Macaca mulatta: one gene and its partners. The protein of the gene in region 2 purifies or fractionates together with the protein of the main gene of each other region. This does not show direct contact. Links are inferred from orthologs where the notes say so. Each region holds a gene or a part of one and is shown on either strand. Other genes may lie near its edges.

Region 1 (4,519 bases), on a different chromosome or scaffold from region 2:
CCCAATCCAGTGGTAAAGCTATTGCACAGTACTTGGCAATGTCTAGAGACAATTTTGGTTGTCACAGCCTGCGGGGAAGGTGCTACTGGCATCTAGTGGGTAGAGGCTAAGGATGCTGCTTAATTTTTTTTTTTTTTTTTTTTTTTTTTTTTTGGAGACAAGAGTTTCGCTCTAGTTGCCCAGGCACAGAACAGCTTCCTACAAAAAAGAATTACCTGGCCCAAAATGTCATTAGCTTCCAAGCTGAGAAACCTGCTCTTCTAGGCCAGGCACCATGGCTCATGCCTGTAACATTGGGAGGCCGAGGCGGGCGGATCCTGAGCTCAGGAGTCGGAGACCACCTTGACCAACATGGAGAAACCTCGTCTCTACTAAAAATACAAAGTTAGCCGGGCGTGGTGGCGCATGCCTGTAAGGCCAGCTACTCGGGAGGCTGAGGCAGGAGAACCGCTTGAACCCAGACGCAGAGATTGCGGTGAGCCGAGATCACACAGCACAGATCACACCATTGTACTCCAGCCAGGGCAACTAAAGCGGAACTGTCCTCAGGGAAGGGAAGGGAAGGGAGGGGAGGGGAGAGGAGGGGAGGGGAAGGGAGGGGAAGAGAAGGGAAGGAAAAAGGAAAGGAAAAAGGAAAGGAAAGGAAAGGAAAGGAAAGGAAAATCTGCTCTCCTATCATAGGATAATCCCATTTCTTCCTGTCTAAAGAGACTCCTACTTAAGTCATCCTGGGTGACTGCTTCAGGGAGGTAGGTTTTGGAGTCAGAAAGGCTGGGTTCTGTCACTTTGTTACAGTGCCTCTGGTGCAAAGAAGGCATTCAAAAAACCCTGTACAGTTGAAAAATTGAATTTAATTACTTTGTGTAACTTTGAGTAATTCACAGAAATCTGAACTTCTTTATCCTGTCCTGTAAAATGGAGGTAAAAAGCCCTTGGCCGAGAGGTGTTTTGAGGAAAAACTGAAATAACATTGGTAAACTGTCGCACAGTACTTGGCACACAGCAGCCCCTCGACAAACAGCTTTCTTTCCCTTTCTTGTCAGTTTCTTCCTCTCAAAACCAGCGTGTTGCTTTTCTTTTTAATTTAATTATTTTTCTGTAGCCCTCCTTTGCGATCACAAACTCGCTTTCTAACCCAGGTTCAGCCCTTTTATTGGCTGAGTGACCTTGTGCAAGTCACTTTTCCCCTGTAGGCCTCGGTTTATTCTCCGTAAAATCAGAAAGTTGGCCTCCGATCTCCAAGCACGCTTTTCACGACCAAGTGGGACTGTTAAGTTTACGGAGCTGCTTTCCTCCCCCGGGACTGATGGTACGGTCCCCGGGCGGCTCCCCACCCATCTGTCGCAGACCTTGGTACAGGCCCAGGGGGCCCTCGGCGGCCTCTCCGGGCTGCCCTTGCCCCCTGCCGAGTTCCGGGCCCGTGTCTGCGCAAGCTGATTGGCTGGAGCGGTGCCCGGGCTGCGCGGCTATAGGTGAGCTCAGGAGGGGACGGGCGGGGCGGGCCGGAGACCCGCCCCCTCCCCCCTGGGTCGGACGCTGAGCTGAGCCGCGGGCGGGAGGGCGGACGGACCGACTGACGGTAGGGACGGGAGGCGAGCAAGATGGCGCAGACGCAGGGCACCCGGAGGAAAGTCTGTTACTACTACGACGGTGAGCACTGTCCTCGCGGCGGGGGCGGGGCCGGGCCGGGCCGAACCGGGGACCTGGAGGCTGAGGCTGGAGCGCCGATGGGAGGCTGCGGGAGGCTGAGGCGCTGGGGAGAGGCTCGGAGAGGAGGCTGCGAGGGGGAAGTCGAGGCTGAGGGAGGAGGCTGTGAGGAAAGGAGATCGAGGCTGAGATCGAGGGGATCGCGTGGGGGAACCCTGAGGTAATCTTGGTGGGAAGATTCTGAGGAAGTCTGATGTGGAGAGTTTGATGTGGAGAGTTTGAGTGGGACTCCTAGAGGGGAGGGTGCGTCCGAGGAGGGAGGCTGAATCTGATGGAGACGGCTGCAAGGATACATTTTCTTGCCGAGAACCCAAAGCTCTTCCCTGCCCCGTCTCTTCCTCATCTTTTCTGGGAGAAGAGCCCTGCACGACTGGTCGCCCGCCTCCCCTCCCCCAGCCTCTGAGCGGGGCCTGCGGTTGCTACTGCGACGTGGGGCGCCAGGGGTTGCAAGGAGAAGGATGCAACCTGTTAAAACAGGCTTCTCACTTAATCTCTCAAGCAGGTTACTGTGTTCGAGGAAGTGTTGAGGGGCTGGGGCGGTGGGAATGATCGGGTCCCAGTGACCGAAGTTCTCTCCGTGTCAGAGCTCAGAGTGTTAGAGGAGCACAGAGAATAGGCACCGAACTCCACCTGAGGAGTCAGCGAAGGAGGGGACGTCTCAGGACCTGAAGAACAGGAGTTCTTAGCCAGGCAAAGGGAAGGCAAAGATAACAGCAAGTTTCAGAGGCAAGAGAGAGGACAGCACCTTTGAAAAACAGGCATTTGACCGGGCGCGGTGGCTCACGCCTGTAATCCGAGCGCTTTGGGAGGCCAGGGCAGGCGGATCACTTGAGGTCAGGAGTTCGAGACCAGCCTGGCCAACATGGCAAAACCCTGTCTCTACAAAAATATAAAAAGTAGCTGGGCGTGGTGGCGCGCGCCTGTAATTCCAGCTACTTGGGAGGCTGAGGCAGGAGAATCCCTTGAACTTGGGAGGTGGAGGTTGCAGTGAGATGAGATCAGGCCACTGGATTCCAGCCTGGGTGACAGAGCAAGACTCTGTCTCAAAAAAAAAAAAAAGGGAAGAAAGAAAAGCAGGCATTTGTAACAGTATGGCTGAGACATAGATTTGGGGGCCTATTGTAGAAGGTGGGGACCCGGGGCGAGGGAAGTGTTGCAAATAATGTGGTTGCTGAAGTAAATGGAGACCGACCAGGTGAGGTGGCTCACACCTGTAATCCCAGCACTTTGGGAGGCCAAGGCTGGTGGATCATCTGAGGTCAGGAGTTCGAGACCAGCCTGGCCAACATGGCGAAACCCCGTCTCTACTAAAAATACAAAATTAGCCGGGCATGGTGTCGCGCACCTGTAATCCCAGCTACTCTGGAGCCTGAGGCAGGAGAATCCCTTAGAACCCGGGAGGTGGAGGTTGCAGTGAGCCAAGATCATACCACTGCACTCCAGCTTGGACAACGGAGTGAGGCTATGTCTTAAAAAAAAAAAAATGTAAACAGGGACCAGACCATGAAGGGCTGGGCATGCTGTCCCAAGGAAGTTGGACTTTATTGAGGGCACTTGTGAATGATTCAAGTTTTATGCAGGTTAGTGACATCATCAGGTTTATACCTTAGAAATTAAAGTCATGGGCTGGGCACGGTGGCTCACACCTGTACTCCCAGCACTTTGGGAGGCTGAGGAGGGCAGATCACGAAGTCAGGAGATCGAGACCATCCTGGCTAACTTGTGAAACCCCGTCTCTACTAAAAATACAAAAAAATTAGCCGAGCGTGGTGGCGGGCGCCTATAATCCCAGCTACTTGGGAGGCTGAGGCAGGAGAATGGTGTGGATGCGGGAGGTGGAGCTTGCAGTGAGCGGAGATCATGCCACTGCACTCTATCCTGGGCGACAGAGGGAGACTCCGTCTCAAAAAAAAAAAAAAGAGAAAGAAATTAAAGTCATGGGGTCCAGGTGCAGTGGCTCACGCCTGTAATCCCAGTACTTTGGGAGGCCGAGGCAGGAGATCACTCGAGGCCAGGAGTTCAAGACCAGCCTGGCCAACGTGGTGAAACCCCGTCTCTACTAAAAATACAAAAATTACCTGGGCGTAGTGGCACGCACCTGTAATCCCAGCTACTCAGGAGGCTGAGGCAGGAGAATCACTTGAACCTGGGAGGCAGAGGTTGCAGTGAGCCAAGATTGCGCCACCGCACTCTAGCCTGGGCAACAGGGTGAGACTCGATCTCAAAAAAATAAAAAAATTAGCCAGGTGTGGTGGCACATGCCTGTAGTCCCAGCTACTCAGGAGGCTGAGGCATAAGAATTGTTTGAAACTGGGAGGCGGAGGTTGCAGTGAGCTGAGTTCTCACCACTGCACTCCATCCTGAGCAAAAGATAGAGACTTGGTCTCAAAAAAACAAAAACGAACAAAAAAAGAAATTCAGATTTTAGGGGTAAGGAAGAAGGCATGGATCCCAAGTTCCTGGTGTGGGCAATACATATATATATAGAGAGAGAGAGACAGTGTCTAGCTCTGTCACCCAGGCTGGAGTGCAGTGGCATGATCTTGGCTCACTGCAACTGCAACGTCCATCTCCTAGATTCAAGGGATTCTCCTGCCTCAGCCTCCTGAGTAGCCAGGATTACAGGCGTACGCCACCATGCTTGGCTAATTTTTGTATTTTTATTAGAGATGGGGTTTCACCATGTTGGCCAGGCTCGTCTCAAACTGACCTCCAGTGATCTGTCTGCCTCAGCCTCCTAAAGTGCTAGGATTACAGGCGTGAGCCACACTTCCTGGCCTCTGGTGTGGGCAATTTGATGGTGAGTGTTTGG
Region 2 (4,520 bases):
ATTGCCCAGAAGAAACCGCTTCTTTACTGCGATCGTCGTGGAAGCTCAGGGCTCTCCAGCGGTGTTTTTAGCTGCGCCCCCTCAGGGGCTCCTGGGCGGGTCGTGGCGCCTTGCCAGGTCTTCAAGAAGGCCACAGGTCCTCCTACAGGTGAAGGGGGTCTTCCCTCACCTGGAGGCAAGCGCGCCTCTAGCCAGGACCCAGACTGCGTCAGGCCTCAGAGCCAGTGGCGAAAGGCGGCGCAGGCAGGGGCAGGAGACACTTGAGGGCCCCCAAGACCCCATCTGGGCCCAGCTGACAGTCCGCAGCCCCCACCCCGGCCGCGGTAAAGAATGCGAGGGACGCACGTGGCCGGGGGTCTCTGTAGCAAGCTCCTTCCCCCGCCGCGGTGAAAGCGTTAGCGTGCCACACTCAAGGGGCCCCAGGGCCCAGCCGCCTCGGTCCCCAGGATCCCGGGGATCACAGCGCCCAGCGAACTACCGGGCAGAGTTCTTCCTGTGGGTGCTCGGACCTGGCGGCCCCGGCGGCCTGGACACCCTCGCTCCGGCCGTTGGCGCCCACCTGAATGGGGGGTGGGGGGAGGAAGCGGTGGCTTCGGGCCTCGCGGACTGCGGCCCCCGCCTCGGGATCCCGGCCCCAGAGTCAAGTTTGTCTCCTCCCTCGGTGCGCCCCTCCCCATGGTCGCCCCGGCGTCCAGCTCGGCTATTCCCGGAGCCCGCCGGTCCCTCAGGAAAAAAAATCGGCGACTCCACGCTGGGTAACAACGCCTGTCCCGCGCGCCTAGCAAGTCGCGCGCTCCGGCCTGGAGAAGTAATTATAAAGAAAGTTTTCCAGCCCGGGCGGATCCACCGGCCAGGTCCTTCAGGCTCCCGGGCCGAGGCCGCCTCCGCTCCCCGCGGGGTCCTAGCGCCCCGCGCGGCGCCGCCCGTGGGATTCCACCGTCCTCCGAGAGGTGCCTCTGCGCGGAATCACAGGGGTAGCCTGGAGATCAGAGCTAGGAGACGCAGAGCCACCGCGCTCCGGGTCTCTCCGCGAGTCCCAAACGGCCCCCCACCGGCCCCTGCCCGCCCCGCCGCTCTGCGCCGCAGCCTCCCCGGGACGCGGGTCCCGGACAGGCCTGGTTCTGGCTTTGAAAGAGAGTCCGAGCCACAGCAGCTCAAGACCAAGACTCCCCTCCGCCACCCACCCCTACCCCATGCAGCCTCGGGATACTCCTGGGCTCCCAGCCGTGGCAGAATGTGGGTGCCTAGGGGAGGCGGGAGGAGGGGGCCCCCGCCACCAACCACGAGGGCGCAGGGGCGACAGCTGGGCCGGGGGCGGAGCTTGGAGCGAGCGCCGCGGCTCTGCTGGTCGCGCAGGAGGCGGTGGGCGTTGCGCCGCGGCCTGCCTGAGGAGCGCAGCGCTGGGCCCCGCTTGTTCGCCGCTCCATCCCGGCCGCGCGCTAGGACCCAGCGGGCGCCGCGCCGCCGCCGCCCGGGGACAGAGGCCGCCTCGGACTCTAGGGGGCGACGCGGCCGCGGGGTATAAAAGCTGGGCCGGCGCGGGCCGGGCCATTCGCGACCCGGAGCTGCGCGGGCGCGGGCGAGTCGGGTCTCCGGGTGGGCGGCGGCGACGCCCCGCGCAGGCTGGAGGCCGCCGAGGCTCGCCATGCCGGGAGAACTCTAGCTCCCCCATGGAGTCGGCCGACTTCTACGAGGCGGAGCCGCGGCCCCCGATGAGCAGCCACCTGCAGAGTCCCCCGCACGCGCCCAGCAGCGCCGCCTTCGGCTTTCCCCGCGGCGCGGGCCCCGCGCAGCCTCCCGCCCCACCTGCCGCCCCGGAGCCGCTGGGCGGCATCTGCGAGCACGAGACGTCCATCGACATCAGCGCCTACATCGACCCGGCCGCCTTCAACGACGAGTTCCTGGCCGACCTGTTCCAGCACAGCCGGCAGCAGGAGAAGGCCAAGGCGGCCGCGGGCCCCGCGGGCGGCGGCGGCGGCGGCGGCGACTTTGACTACCCGGGCGCGCCCGCGGGCCCCGGGGGCGCCGTCATGCCCGGGGGAGCGCACGGGCCCCCGCCCGGCTACGGCTGCGCGGCCGCCGGCTACCTGGACGGCAGGCTGGAGCCCCTGTACGAGCGCGTCGGGGCGCCGGCGCTGCGGCCGCTGGTGATCAAGCAGGAGCCCCGCGAGGAGGATGAAGCCAAGCAGCTGGCGCTGGCCGGCCTCTTCCCTTACCAGCCGCCGCCGCCGCCGCCGCCCTCACACCCGCACCCGCCGCCAGCGCACCTGGCCGCCCCGCACCTGCAGTTCCAGATAGCGCACTGCGGCCAGACCACCATGCACCTGCAGCCCGGTCACCCTACGCCGCCACCCACGCCCGTGCCCAGCCCGCACCCCGCGCCCGCGCTCGGCGCCGCCGGCCTGCCGGGCCCCGGCGGCGCGCTCAAGGGGCTGGGCGCCGCGCACCCCGACCTCCGCGCGAGTGGCGGCGGCGGCACGGGCAAGGCCAAGAAGTCGGTGGACAAGAACAGCAACGAGTACCGGGTGCGGCGCGAGCGCAACAACATCGCGGTGCGCAAGAGCCGCGACAAGGCCAAGCAGCGCAACGTGGAGACGCAGCAGAAGGTGCTGGAGCTGACCAGTGACAATGACCGCCTGCGCAAGCGGGTGGAACAGCTGAGCCGCGAACTGGACACGCTGCGGGGCATCTTCCGCCAGCTGCCAGAGAGCTCCTTGGTCAAGGCCATGGGCAACTGCGCGTGAGGCGCGCGGCTGAGGGACCGCCCTGGGCCAGCCTCCGGCGGGGACCCAGGGGTGGTTTGGGGTCGCCGGATCTCGAGGCTTGCCCGAGCCATGCGAGCCAGGACTAGGAGATTCCGGTGCCTCCCGAAAGCCTGGCCTGCTCCGCGTGTCCCCTCCCTTCTTCTGCGCCGGACTTGGTGCGTCTGAGATGAGGGGGCCAGGCGGTGACTTCTCCCTGCAAGGAGGGGAGAATTCTTGGGGCTGAGCTGGGAGCCCGGCAACTTTAGTATTAAGGATAACCTTGTGCCTTGGAAATGCAAACTCACCGCTCCGATGCCTACCGAGTAGGGGGAGCAAATCGTGCCTTGTCATTTTATTTGGAGGTTTCCTGCCTCCTTCCCGAGGCTGCAGCAGGCCCCCATGAGAGGAGGAGGGGAGCAGGCCCGTGGCAGGAGGAGGGCTCAGGGAGCTGAGATCCCGACAAGCCAACCGGCCCCAGCCGCTCCTCCGCGCCTGTCCTTAGAAATGGGGGGAAACATAGGGACTTGGGGCTTGAAACCTAAGGTTGTTCCCCTAGTTCTACATGAAGGTGGAGGGTCTAGTTCCACGCCTCTCCCACCTCCCTCCGCACACACCCCACCCCAGCCTGCTATAGGCTGGGCTTTCCCTTGGGGCGGAACTCACTGAGATGGGAGTCACCAGGTGACCAGTGGGAGCCCCCACCACGAGTTAGACCAGAAAGCTAGGTCGTGAGTCAGCTCTGAGGATGTATACCCCTGGTGGGAGATGGAGACCTAGAGATCTGGCCGTGGGCGGGCTTGGGGGGTGAAGGGCCACTGGGACCCTCAGCCTTGTTTGTACTGTATGCCTTCAGCATTGCCTAGGAACACGAAGCACGATCAGTCCATCCCAGAGGGACCGGAGTTATGACAAGCTTTCCAAATATTTTGCTTTATCAGCCGATATCAACACTTGTATCTGGCCTCTGTGCCCCAGCAGTGCCTTGTGCAATGTGAATGTGCGCGTCTCTGCTAAACCACCATTTTATTTGGTTTTTGTTTTGTTTTGGTTTTGCTCGGATACTTGCCAAAATGAGACTCTCCATCGGCAGCTGGGGGAAGGGTCTGAGACTCTCTTTCCTTTTGGTTTTGGGATTACTTTTGATCCTGGGGGACCAATGAGGTGAGGGGAGTTCTCCTTTGCCCTCAGCTTTCCCCGGCCCCTCCGGCCTGGGCTGCCCACAAGGCTTGTCCCCCAGAGGCCCTGGCTCCTGGTCGGGAAGGGAGGTGGCCTCTCGCCAACACATCACTGGGGCTGGGAGCAGGGAAAGACGGCTTGGTTCTCTTCTTTTGGGGAGAACGTAGAGTCTCACCGTAGATGTTTTATGTATTATATCTATAATATAAACATATCGAAAGTCAATGTCCGTGTCTTTTTAAAACCAGAAAGAAGCTACTTCCAAGGTTGTCTGTGGGCCAGGCCACATTTGTAAATAATACAGCATTTTCCCTGGCGGCAATCCTGACTTTCATGAGCTCTCCATCCACCCCCAGCCCCTCTTTACCCTAAGGGGGTGACTTACTTCCCCCAGGCAACACAAATAAATAGCAGAGGACAAGGCTCCAAACGGAGAGTGTCCAGAGCCTGAAGGCAGTCTTGGGGTCAGGAGAGGGGGCCTTCGAAGAGGTTAGGGGGCTGAGGCTTTGGCAAGGTCTTATCTGCCCCTGGGAGGAGGAGAGGGAGTCCTCTGCATGAGGGGCAGGCCCGGCTCAGCAGGCCTAGGCTCAAGGAGCCCTT
Region 3 (4,737 bases), on a different chromosome or scaffold from region 2:
AAGCAGACAGAGAAGACGGCTTCTGTTGTAAAGAGAGTAAGGTGCGAAGGGCTTATGTGGAAGGTGAGGCTGAAGTGGGGAATGCTGGTGTGGGAAGGGAGTTTGAAAAACTTAGACACTTATCTTCACCTCCAGAAGGCTTACAAAGCACCCACCCCTAGCAAGGTAGCCAATAAAACATTCACCTCTTGAGCCCCTTAGTCAGTTCAGTCCTTGAGATTTTTCTTACTAGTGTTTCAGCTGCCCTTGCCAGGAGGGGCCCAGGACTACAAGTATCAGGATGGAAAGAGGGGGCATCTGTATTAACATGTATTCCATTTTGCTCTAAATCACGGTTTATATTCATCTTCTAGTTTGAACTCTTATATTCTCAGCCAGATGGTTAAGGAAAACAAGTTAGAGTGGAAGGAGTGGCAAATAGGGTAATAAAATGGCTTTAGATTTTACACAAATTCTCACAAATGAGACACTAACCGCTTTCCTCCTTTACTCCCATACCCTCAAAGGGCTAGGACATGAAGACCTTGGAGCCAATAAAACAAAGAAAGTAGGAGAAATCTACCTACGTCTACCTCGGTGTCTGTGGGCAGAGGCCATTTGGGAAAAAGTGTGTTCTGGACACCGCTAAGTGCTAAGAAAGAGGCACTAGGGAAAAAGAGGGAAGCACAATGACTCCAAATGAGCAGTCACAAGGTTTACAGAAGGAGACATGTCATTTTCATTCATTGTGGTGGTCTGGAGGGTGCAGGGGGTGTGGTGGTAACTTTCTTGCACATGTACACTCCTGTATCCATCTTATATATTACATGTAATAAATAATATATACATACATATATACATAGAAGTATATATACACATATAAAAATATCACATAATCATAGAACCGTCCTACTGGGGAAAAAAAAAACTTAAAGGTCAAGTATTCCTGTCTCCTGCTCATTAATAACTTCTCTGCCAGATGGCCTCAGGTCTTTGCATTAACACTCCCAGGGAGATTTGGAAGTTGAGAAAAGAGGGGGCATTACCTTGTCACTGAACCTGTTGGATTACTGTATTAATCTGCCTTCTGTCCGTCCTTTAATCGTAGTTTTGCCCTCAAATGGGCATTGTTTACTCCCTATTTTAGAAGACCCCATTGTTGGCTACATCTTTCTAGATAGTCGTACCACTACTTTAAAGGGCCAGTGACAGACACCAGAAACAAAACAAAATAAAAACCCACATACACACTGGAAGCAAGCACTCAGTAAAATGTTGTAGAATTAATGAATGAATCAATGACACAAATGAGAGTATGTTTTATCATGGTGGAGCGAAAAGGTGACAGCATCACCTCTGGTACCCCAACTCCCATTCCCTCCCCAATGTAGACAGGCTGAAAGACCGGTAGTGAGACTGGAGTTCAGCCTTCAGACCGGTAGTGAGACAATCCTTCAGCCGGGAGTTGGGCTCTGGGTGGCCTAGGTTGCCATGGCACCGCCTCGGGCTCCACCCTCTCTTGTCCCCTTACCGCGCCCCCCCGCGGCGGGGGTTGTGGCAGCCAGTCATGTGCCCGCCGCGTAACCACACCTCTGCTCCTCAGAGCAATGTCAAGCGGTCACGTGTGATAGCAACAGATCACGTGGCTACCATCGCCCCTCCGCCCCCTTACACTCTTCGCCCTCCTCCCCGTCAAAGCGGCTCCTGGCCACCCCTCCGCGCATGGGTGGCAGTCACGTGCCCAGAACGTCCGGCGTTCGCCCCGCCCTCCCAGTTTCCGCGCGCCTCTTTGGCAGCTGGTCACATGGTGAGGGTGGGGGTGAGGGGGCCTCTCTAGCTTGCGGCCTGTGTCTATGGTCGGGCCCTCTGCGTCCAGCTGCCCCGGACCGAGCTTGGGTGTATGGGGCCGTAGGAACCAGCTCCGGGGCCCCGATAACGGGCCGCCCCCGCAGCACCCCGGCCTGGCGTGAGGTAAGTGCAGTCCCTTCCCGGGAATGAGAACCAGTGCCCGCCCCCCTCACAGTTTTCCACGCGTTCGTTTCTCGAGCTGGTTATGGAGGGGTCGCTCAAGGGCGGGAAGTGGGGCCTTTGTGGTCATGGGAAAGTATAATTTTAGGGACTGAGGTGTAGGATCTTTGATGCAAGGCATGTGTCATGTGTGATCTTTGTGCAGGGCGCGATTGTCCCAAAGGAAAATGCGTTTTTTATTGCAGGGCCTCACGTGGCTGGAGGGGTTGGTATTGAGTCATTGTGTTATCTCTGGGGCCGGCCCCAAGGAAGGCTGCGAGCGGGGGATGGGATGCTAGTGTTGCTCTTTGTGCTTTTTTTTGGGAGTCCTTTTGTTGCTGCAGGCTCATACCATGCTAATTCTGTAAGGGACTTTTGGTGATAGGAGTCTGTGATTGTAGGGTCGCCCTTGATCTGAGAATGGCTACCTCTCGATATGAGCCAGTGGCTGAAATTGGTGTCGGTGCCTATGGGACAGTGTACAAGGCCCGTGATCCCCACAGTGGCCACTTTGTGGCCCTCAAGAGTGTGAGAGTCCCCAATGGAGGAGGAGCTGGAGGAGGCCTTCCCATCAGCACAGTTCGGGAGGTGGCCTTACTGAGGCGACTGGAGGCTTTTGAACATCCCAATGTAGTCCGGTGAGAAGGTGGTGACGAGGGGAGTGGGGAGTAAAGGGAAAAGACAGCCTATAGGTGGGGTGTGGTGATCTGTAGAGAAGTGGGGACCCTGAGGAAATAATGAGAGGCCATGTTGGGTTAAAGGGGATTGAAAAGTGAGCATTTACTCTGGCCAGGCTGATGGACGTCTGTGCCACATCCCGAACTGACCGGGAGATCAAGGTAACCCTGGTGTTTGAGCATGTAGACCAAGACCTAAGGACGTATCTGGACAAAGCACCCCCACCAGGCTTGCCAGCCGAGACCATCAAGGTGAGTGGGGTTGGTAGGCATTGAGAGGTGGATTGGGACCTTTGTAGTAAAACCTCCTGGGATTTCAGGTATGGTGTGCCTAGTTTCCAGTGCATCTGTACCTCCCCCTTCTAAACTAGGATTTGATGCGCCAGTTTCTAAGAGGCCTAGATTTCCTTCATGCAAATTGCATCGTTCACCGAGATCTGAAGCCAGAGAACATTCTGGTGACAAGTGGTGGAACAGTCAAGCTGGCTGACTTTGGCCTGGCCAGAATCTACAGCTACCAGATGGCACTTACACCCGTGGTCAGTAGAAAGATGGTACCAAAATGGGTTCTGGTTGGGAGTAGGAGAGTGATTGCCTGTAGCAATTGAGAAGTCATGTGCTTCGTGTGTTCAGTCAAGCAAGTTGTGTTTTGTGGTAACCCATGGAGTCCCCATCCATTCTTCCTATTCTCTTTAGGTTGTTACACTCTGGTACCGAGCTCCCGAAGTTCTTCTGCAGTCCACATATGCAACACCTGTGGACATGTGGAGTGTTGGCTGTATCTTTGCAGAGATGTTTCGTCGAAAGTATGGGACCCACATACCCTGGACCACCTTGAATTCCCCAAATTGCTTGTTCATAAACCACGTCCACACCCTGCCCATTCTTTCTTTTTCTCTTTTTTTTTTTTTTTTTTTTTTTTTTGAGACCAGGGCTTGCTTTGTTGCTCAGGCTGGATTGCAATGGCATGATCACAGCTCACTGCAGTGTCAACCTCCTGGGCTCAAGTGATCCTCCCATCTCAGCCTCCCAAGTAGCTGACACTCCATGCCCAGCTAGTTTTTTAATATTTCTGTAGAGAGGGGGGGTCTCAGTATATTGCCCAGGCTGGTCTTGAACTCTTGTACTCAAGCAGTCCTCCCACCGCTATCTCCCAAAGTGCTGGGATTACAAGCGTGAACTACTGGACCTGGCCCCATTCTTTTACTTGCATACTACTGACTACTTTGCCCATAGCAGAAAGCTCTGAAATGCTCTAGAATTAGGAACTTCATATCCCTTTATTCTCTTTTATTTATTTATTTATTTTTGCAATAAGGTTTCACTCTGTCACCCAGGCTGGAGTGCAATGGCCCAATTACAGCTCACTGTAGCCTCTATCTCCTGGGCTCAAGCAATTCTCCCATCTCAGCCTCCTGAGTAGCAGAAACTATAGGTGCATGCCACCATGACTGGCTTTTTTTTTTTTTTTGAGACGGAGTCTCGCCTTGTCGCCAGGCTGGAGTGCAGTGGTGCGATCTCAGCTCACTGCAACCTCCGCCTCCCAGGTTCAAGTGATTCTCCTGACTCAGCCTCCCAAGTAGCTGGGACTACAGGTGCGTGCCACCACGTCCAGCTAATTTTTGTATTTTTAGTAGAGACGGGGTTTCACCATGTTGGCCAGGATGGTCTCAATCTCTTGACCTCATGATCCACCTGCCTCAGCCTCCTAACGTGCTGGGATTACAGGCGTGAGCCACTGTGCCCAGCAATTTTTTTTTTTTTTTTTTTTTTTTTTTTAAGAGACAAGGTCTTGCTTGCCCAGGCTGATCTGGAACTCCTGGGCTCAAGCAGTCCTCTCACCTTAGCATCCCAAAGTGCTGGAATTATCGACCTTTATTCCCTGTGCTTTCTATTTTGGGCCACTAAGCAGTAACCATTCAACTAAGATATCTTTGAAAATGACTGCTACCTTATGTCCCTTCTCACCTTAGGCCTCTCTTCTGTGGAAACTCTGAAGCTGACCAGTTGGGCAAAATCTTTGAGTAAGTGACCAACGTGGGAGAAAAAGATTTTCTATTCTCAGTCCTCTTTC
Region 4 (3,198 bases), on a different chromosome or scaffold from region 2:
GCTGGGAGACAAAGTGTTGCCATGTCAGGGGTCTGTGGGTGGGAACATAATGAAAAGGACCCCGAAGTGGGGACAGTGTGGCCAGGCAGCATGGAGAAGTGAGTGCCACTGGCTCAGCCTGGGCCTGAGCTCACTGGGGACCAGAGCTGCTTTGCATGTTGCTAAGGGGCGGGGAGGGCAGGGCACTTCCTTCACAGAATGCTCTTTCTCTTGCTTGGTAGGATGTTCTTTGGCAAAAACAAGGTAATGATGGTGGCCTTGGGTCGAAGCCCATCTGATGAGTACAAAGACAACCTGCACCAGGTAAATCTCTGGTTTTCACGGGGTGGGGCTGAGGCAGAGCCGCCTTCTCTCCCACTACTCCCACGTGATAGCCTCCCCTAGCCGTCGGCTGGCCCGTGGCTCAGGGAGAGCAGGGCCTGGCTTAAAGCTCTGGGTTCTCCCTTCACCTCCGGACCCAGGGAATAGCACCCTTCCTGCCTCCCACTCCTTCCTGCTGTGACCACCAGAAACATCTTTAAACGTTGCCAAATGTCCCCTGGTGAGCAAAAACGTGCCTAGTAGAGAACCACTGCTCTAATGTGACCAAGCTGGCCTCACTCTTGATTTGTAGGTCAGCAAAAGGTTGAGGGGTGAAGTGGGTCTCCTGTTCACCAACTGCACAAAGGAGGAGGTGAATGAGTAAGTACTGCTGAGGAACGGAGAGAAAGAGGCGGGTGAGGGGGATTTTAGGGAGGGGATGATGCAGGGACTTCATTCCATATGCGGCATCAAGTCGGAACTGCTCCTGGAAGCCTGTCACTGAGCTAGTGACCTGGGACCACAGCCCTCTCTGCCCTCTCCAGCATGGTGTGGTGGGCTGACTGCTGGCCAGCAGCCAAGGTCTGTAAAGGCCCAGGGCCACGGGACACTTGGGGGAGCCTGACTCATGGGCTGGTGGTGTGGCCAGGAGCATCCCCTCCTACCGCTTCTTTTTCCCTTAGGTGGTTCACAAAATACACAGAAATGGACTACGCCCGCGCTGGTAACAAAGCAGCATTCACTGTGAGCCTGGACCCGGGGCCCCTGGAGCAGTTCCCCCACTCCATGGAGCCACAGCTCAGGCAGCTGGGCCTGCCCACCACCCTCAAGAGAGGTATGGGCAGCCCTGGAGCCAAAAGCTCACAGCCTAGAGTCCAAGAGCACAAGCCTGCAAGCTCATCCCTTTCTGGCTGAGCAAGTTATTTCTACAAGCCTCCATTTTCTCATGTGAAAATGGGGCTAAGGGGCGGGCGCGGTGGCTCAAGCCTGTAATCCCAGCACTTTGGGAGGCCGAGGCGGGTGGATCACGAGGTCAGGAGATCGAGACTATCCTGGCTAACATGGTGAAACCCCGTCTCTACTAAAAATACAAAAAACTAGCCGGGCGTGGTGGCGGGCGCCTGTAGTCTCAGCTACTTGGGAGGCTGAGGCGGGAGAATGGCATGAACCCGGGAGGCGGAGCTTGCAGTGAGCCGAGATCACGCCACTGCACTCCAGCCTGGGAGACACAGCAAGACTCCGTCTCAAAAAAAAAAAAAAAAAAGAAAATGGGGCTAAGAGTGCACGCCTCACAGTTGGGGTGAAAGCAGACAGTAACTTATAGTCTTGCAGCTGTTGAGGGACAGGGACATCAGGGGCCTGGTGCCGGTTTAAAAAAAAAAAAAAAAGTCAAAAAATTAGACAGCCATGGTGGTGTGTGCCTGTGGTCCTAGCTACATGGGAGGCTGAGGCAAGAGGATCACTTGAACCCAGGAGGTCAAGGCTGTGGCGAATCAAAGGGACCTCAGGGAGACAGCCACTGCCCAGTGTGTGATGGAGCTGTGGGGAGGGCAGGTGGCTGACTGGATTCCTCCTAACGTGGCAGGGACAGAGAGGGCTCTGCAGGCCTCTGGGCCAGAGGTAACTGAGAGCCACCCTCTTCTGCAGGTGTAGTGACTCTGCTATCCGACTTTGAGGTGTGCAAGGAGGGCGATGTGCTGACCCCAGAGCAGGCTCGCGTCCTGGTGAGTCTGGCGCCTTGAGGGCTATTGCAGGAGGGGCCGCTGGCTGGCTTCTGCCTGCTGAAAACGACCCCCTGCACTTTGAATACCTCCATTCCTCCTGATTCTTTGTTCCCTTTGTCTCTTGCAGAAGCTTTTTGGGTATGAGATGGCTGAATTCAAGGTGACCATCAAATACATGTGGGATTCACAGTCGGGAAGGTTCCAGCAGATGGGAGATGACTTGCCAGAGAGCGCATCCGAGTCCGCAGAAGAGTCAGACTCAGAAGACGATGACTGAAAGGGACTCAAAATTAAAGGCCTCCTGGAACCTTCTGGGTCTCACTGGACCATGCAGGACTGCTGCCGCCCCTCTGAAGAGAGCAGCTGTTTATTTGTCTGTAGACAGGGAATGTGATGGGCACTGACCTCCTATAAAGAATAAAACTCTGGGCCGGGCGCAGTGGCTCAAGCCTGTAATCCCAGCACTTTCGGAGGCCGAGACAGGTGGATCACGAGGTCAGGAGACCGAGACCATCCTGGCTAACACGGTGAAACCCCATCTCTACTAAAAAATACAAAAAACTAGCCAGGCGAGGTGGCGGGCACCTGTAGTCCCAGCTACTCTGGAGGCTGAGGCAGGAGAATGGCCTAAACCCAGGAGGCGGAGCTTGCAGTGAGCTGAGATCCGGCCACTGCACTCCAGCCTCTGCACTCCAGCCTGGGCTACAGAGCGAGATTCCGTCTCAAAAAAAAAAAAAAGCTCTGGGCCAGGTGCAGTGGCTCACGCCAGTAATCCCAGCACTTTGGGAGGCCGAGGCGGGCAGACCATAAGGTCAGGAGATTAAGACCATCCTGACACAGTGAAACACAGTGAAACCCTGTCTCTACTACTGTTGCCCAGACTGGTCTGGAACTCCTGTCTTCAATCAGTCCTCCTGCCTTGGCCTCTCAAAGTGCTGAGATTAAAGGTGTGAGCCACTCTTTTTTTTTTTTTTTTTTTTTAAATGGCCGAATAATAGTCTGTTGTATGAATATGCCACATTTTCTTTATGCATTCATTCATTGATGGACATTTGGGTTGTTTTTAATTATCAGCTATTATGAGTAATGACACTGTGAAAACTCATTCCCAAGTTTTTTGTGGGGAGATACGTTTTCACTTCTCTTGGCTATATACCCACAAGTGGAACTGCTG

The links.
Region 1: the proteins of CEBPA (region 2) and HDAC1 purify together in Homo sapiens (affinity purification with western blotting; 3 studies listed by BioGRID, with this or other methods). This does not show direct contact. The link is inferred for Macaca mulatta from reciprocal best matches to the Homo sapiens genes CEBPA and HDAC1.
Region 3: the proteins of CEBPA (region 2) and CDK4 purify together in Homo sapiens (affinity purification with western blotting; 3 studies listed by BioGRID, with this or other methods). This does not show direct contact. The link is inferred for Macaca mulatta from reciprocal best matches to the Homo sapiens genes CEBPA and CDK4.
Region 4: the proteins of CEBPA (region 2) and MRTO4 purify together in Homo sapiens (affinity purification with mass spectrometry; 3 studies listed by BioGRID and IntAct, with this or other methods). This does not show direct contact. The link is inferred for Macaca mulatta from reciprocal best matches to the Homo sapiens genes CEBPA and MRTO4.

Annotation. Positions count from the first base shown.
Region 1 is NC_133406.1:208,584,425-208,588,943, reverse strand, and holds the start of HDAC1 (histone deacetylase 1), read left to right. Parts: upstream 1-1,535; 5' UTR 1,536-1,601; coding exon 1,602-1,650; intron 1,651-4,519. UniProt on the Homo sapiens protein: Histone deacetylase that catalyzes the deacetylation of lysine residues on the N-terminal part of the core histones (H2A, H2B, H3 and H4).
Region 2 is NC_133424.1:44,601,616-44,606,135, reverse strand, and holds CEBPA (CCAAT/enhancer-binding protein alpha), read left to right. Parts: upstream 1-1,550; 5' UTR 1,551-1,670; coding exon 1,671-2,744; 3' UTR 2,745-4,145; downstream 4,146-4,520. UniProt on the Homo sapiens protein: Transcription factor that coordinates proliferation arrest and the differentiation of myeloid progenitors, adipocytes, hepatocytes, and cells of the lung and the placenta.
Region 3 is NC_133416.1:64,928,886-64,933,622, reverse strand, and holds the start of CDK4 (cyclin-dependent kinase 4), read left to right. Parts: upstream 1-1,794; 5' UTR 1,795-1,950; intron 1,951-2,387; 5' UTR 2,388-2,406; coding exon 2,407-2,624; intron 2,625-2,779; coding exon 2,780-2,915; intron 2,916-3,034; coding exon 3,035-3,202; intron 3,203-3,359; coding exon 3,360-3,469; intron 3,470-4,636; coding exon 4,637-4,687; intron 4,688-4,737.
Region 4 is NC_133406.1:221,715,391-221,718,588, reverse strand, and holds the end of MRTO4 (mRNA turnover protein 4 homolog), read left to right. Parts: intron 1-221; coding exon 222-303; intron 304-613; coding exon 614-681; intron 682-983; coding exon 984-1,135; intron 1,136-1,947; coding exon 1,948-2,024; intron 2,025-2,151; coding exon 2,152-2,301; 3' UTR 2,302-2,480; downstream 2,481-3,198. UniProt on the Homo sapiens protein: Component of the ribosome assembly machinery. Nuclear paralog of the ribosomal protein P0, it binds pre-60S subunits at an early stage of assembly in the nucleolus, and is replaced by P0 in cytoplasmic pre-60S subunits and mature 80S ribosomes.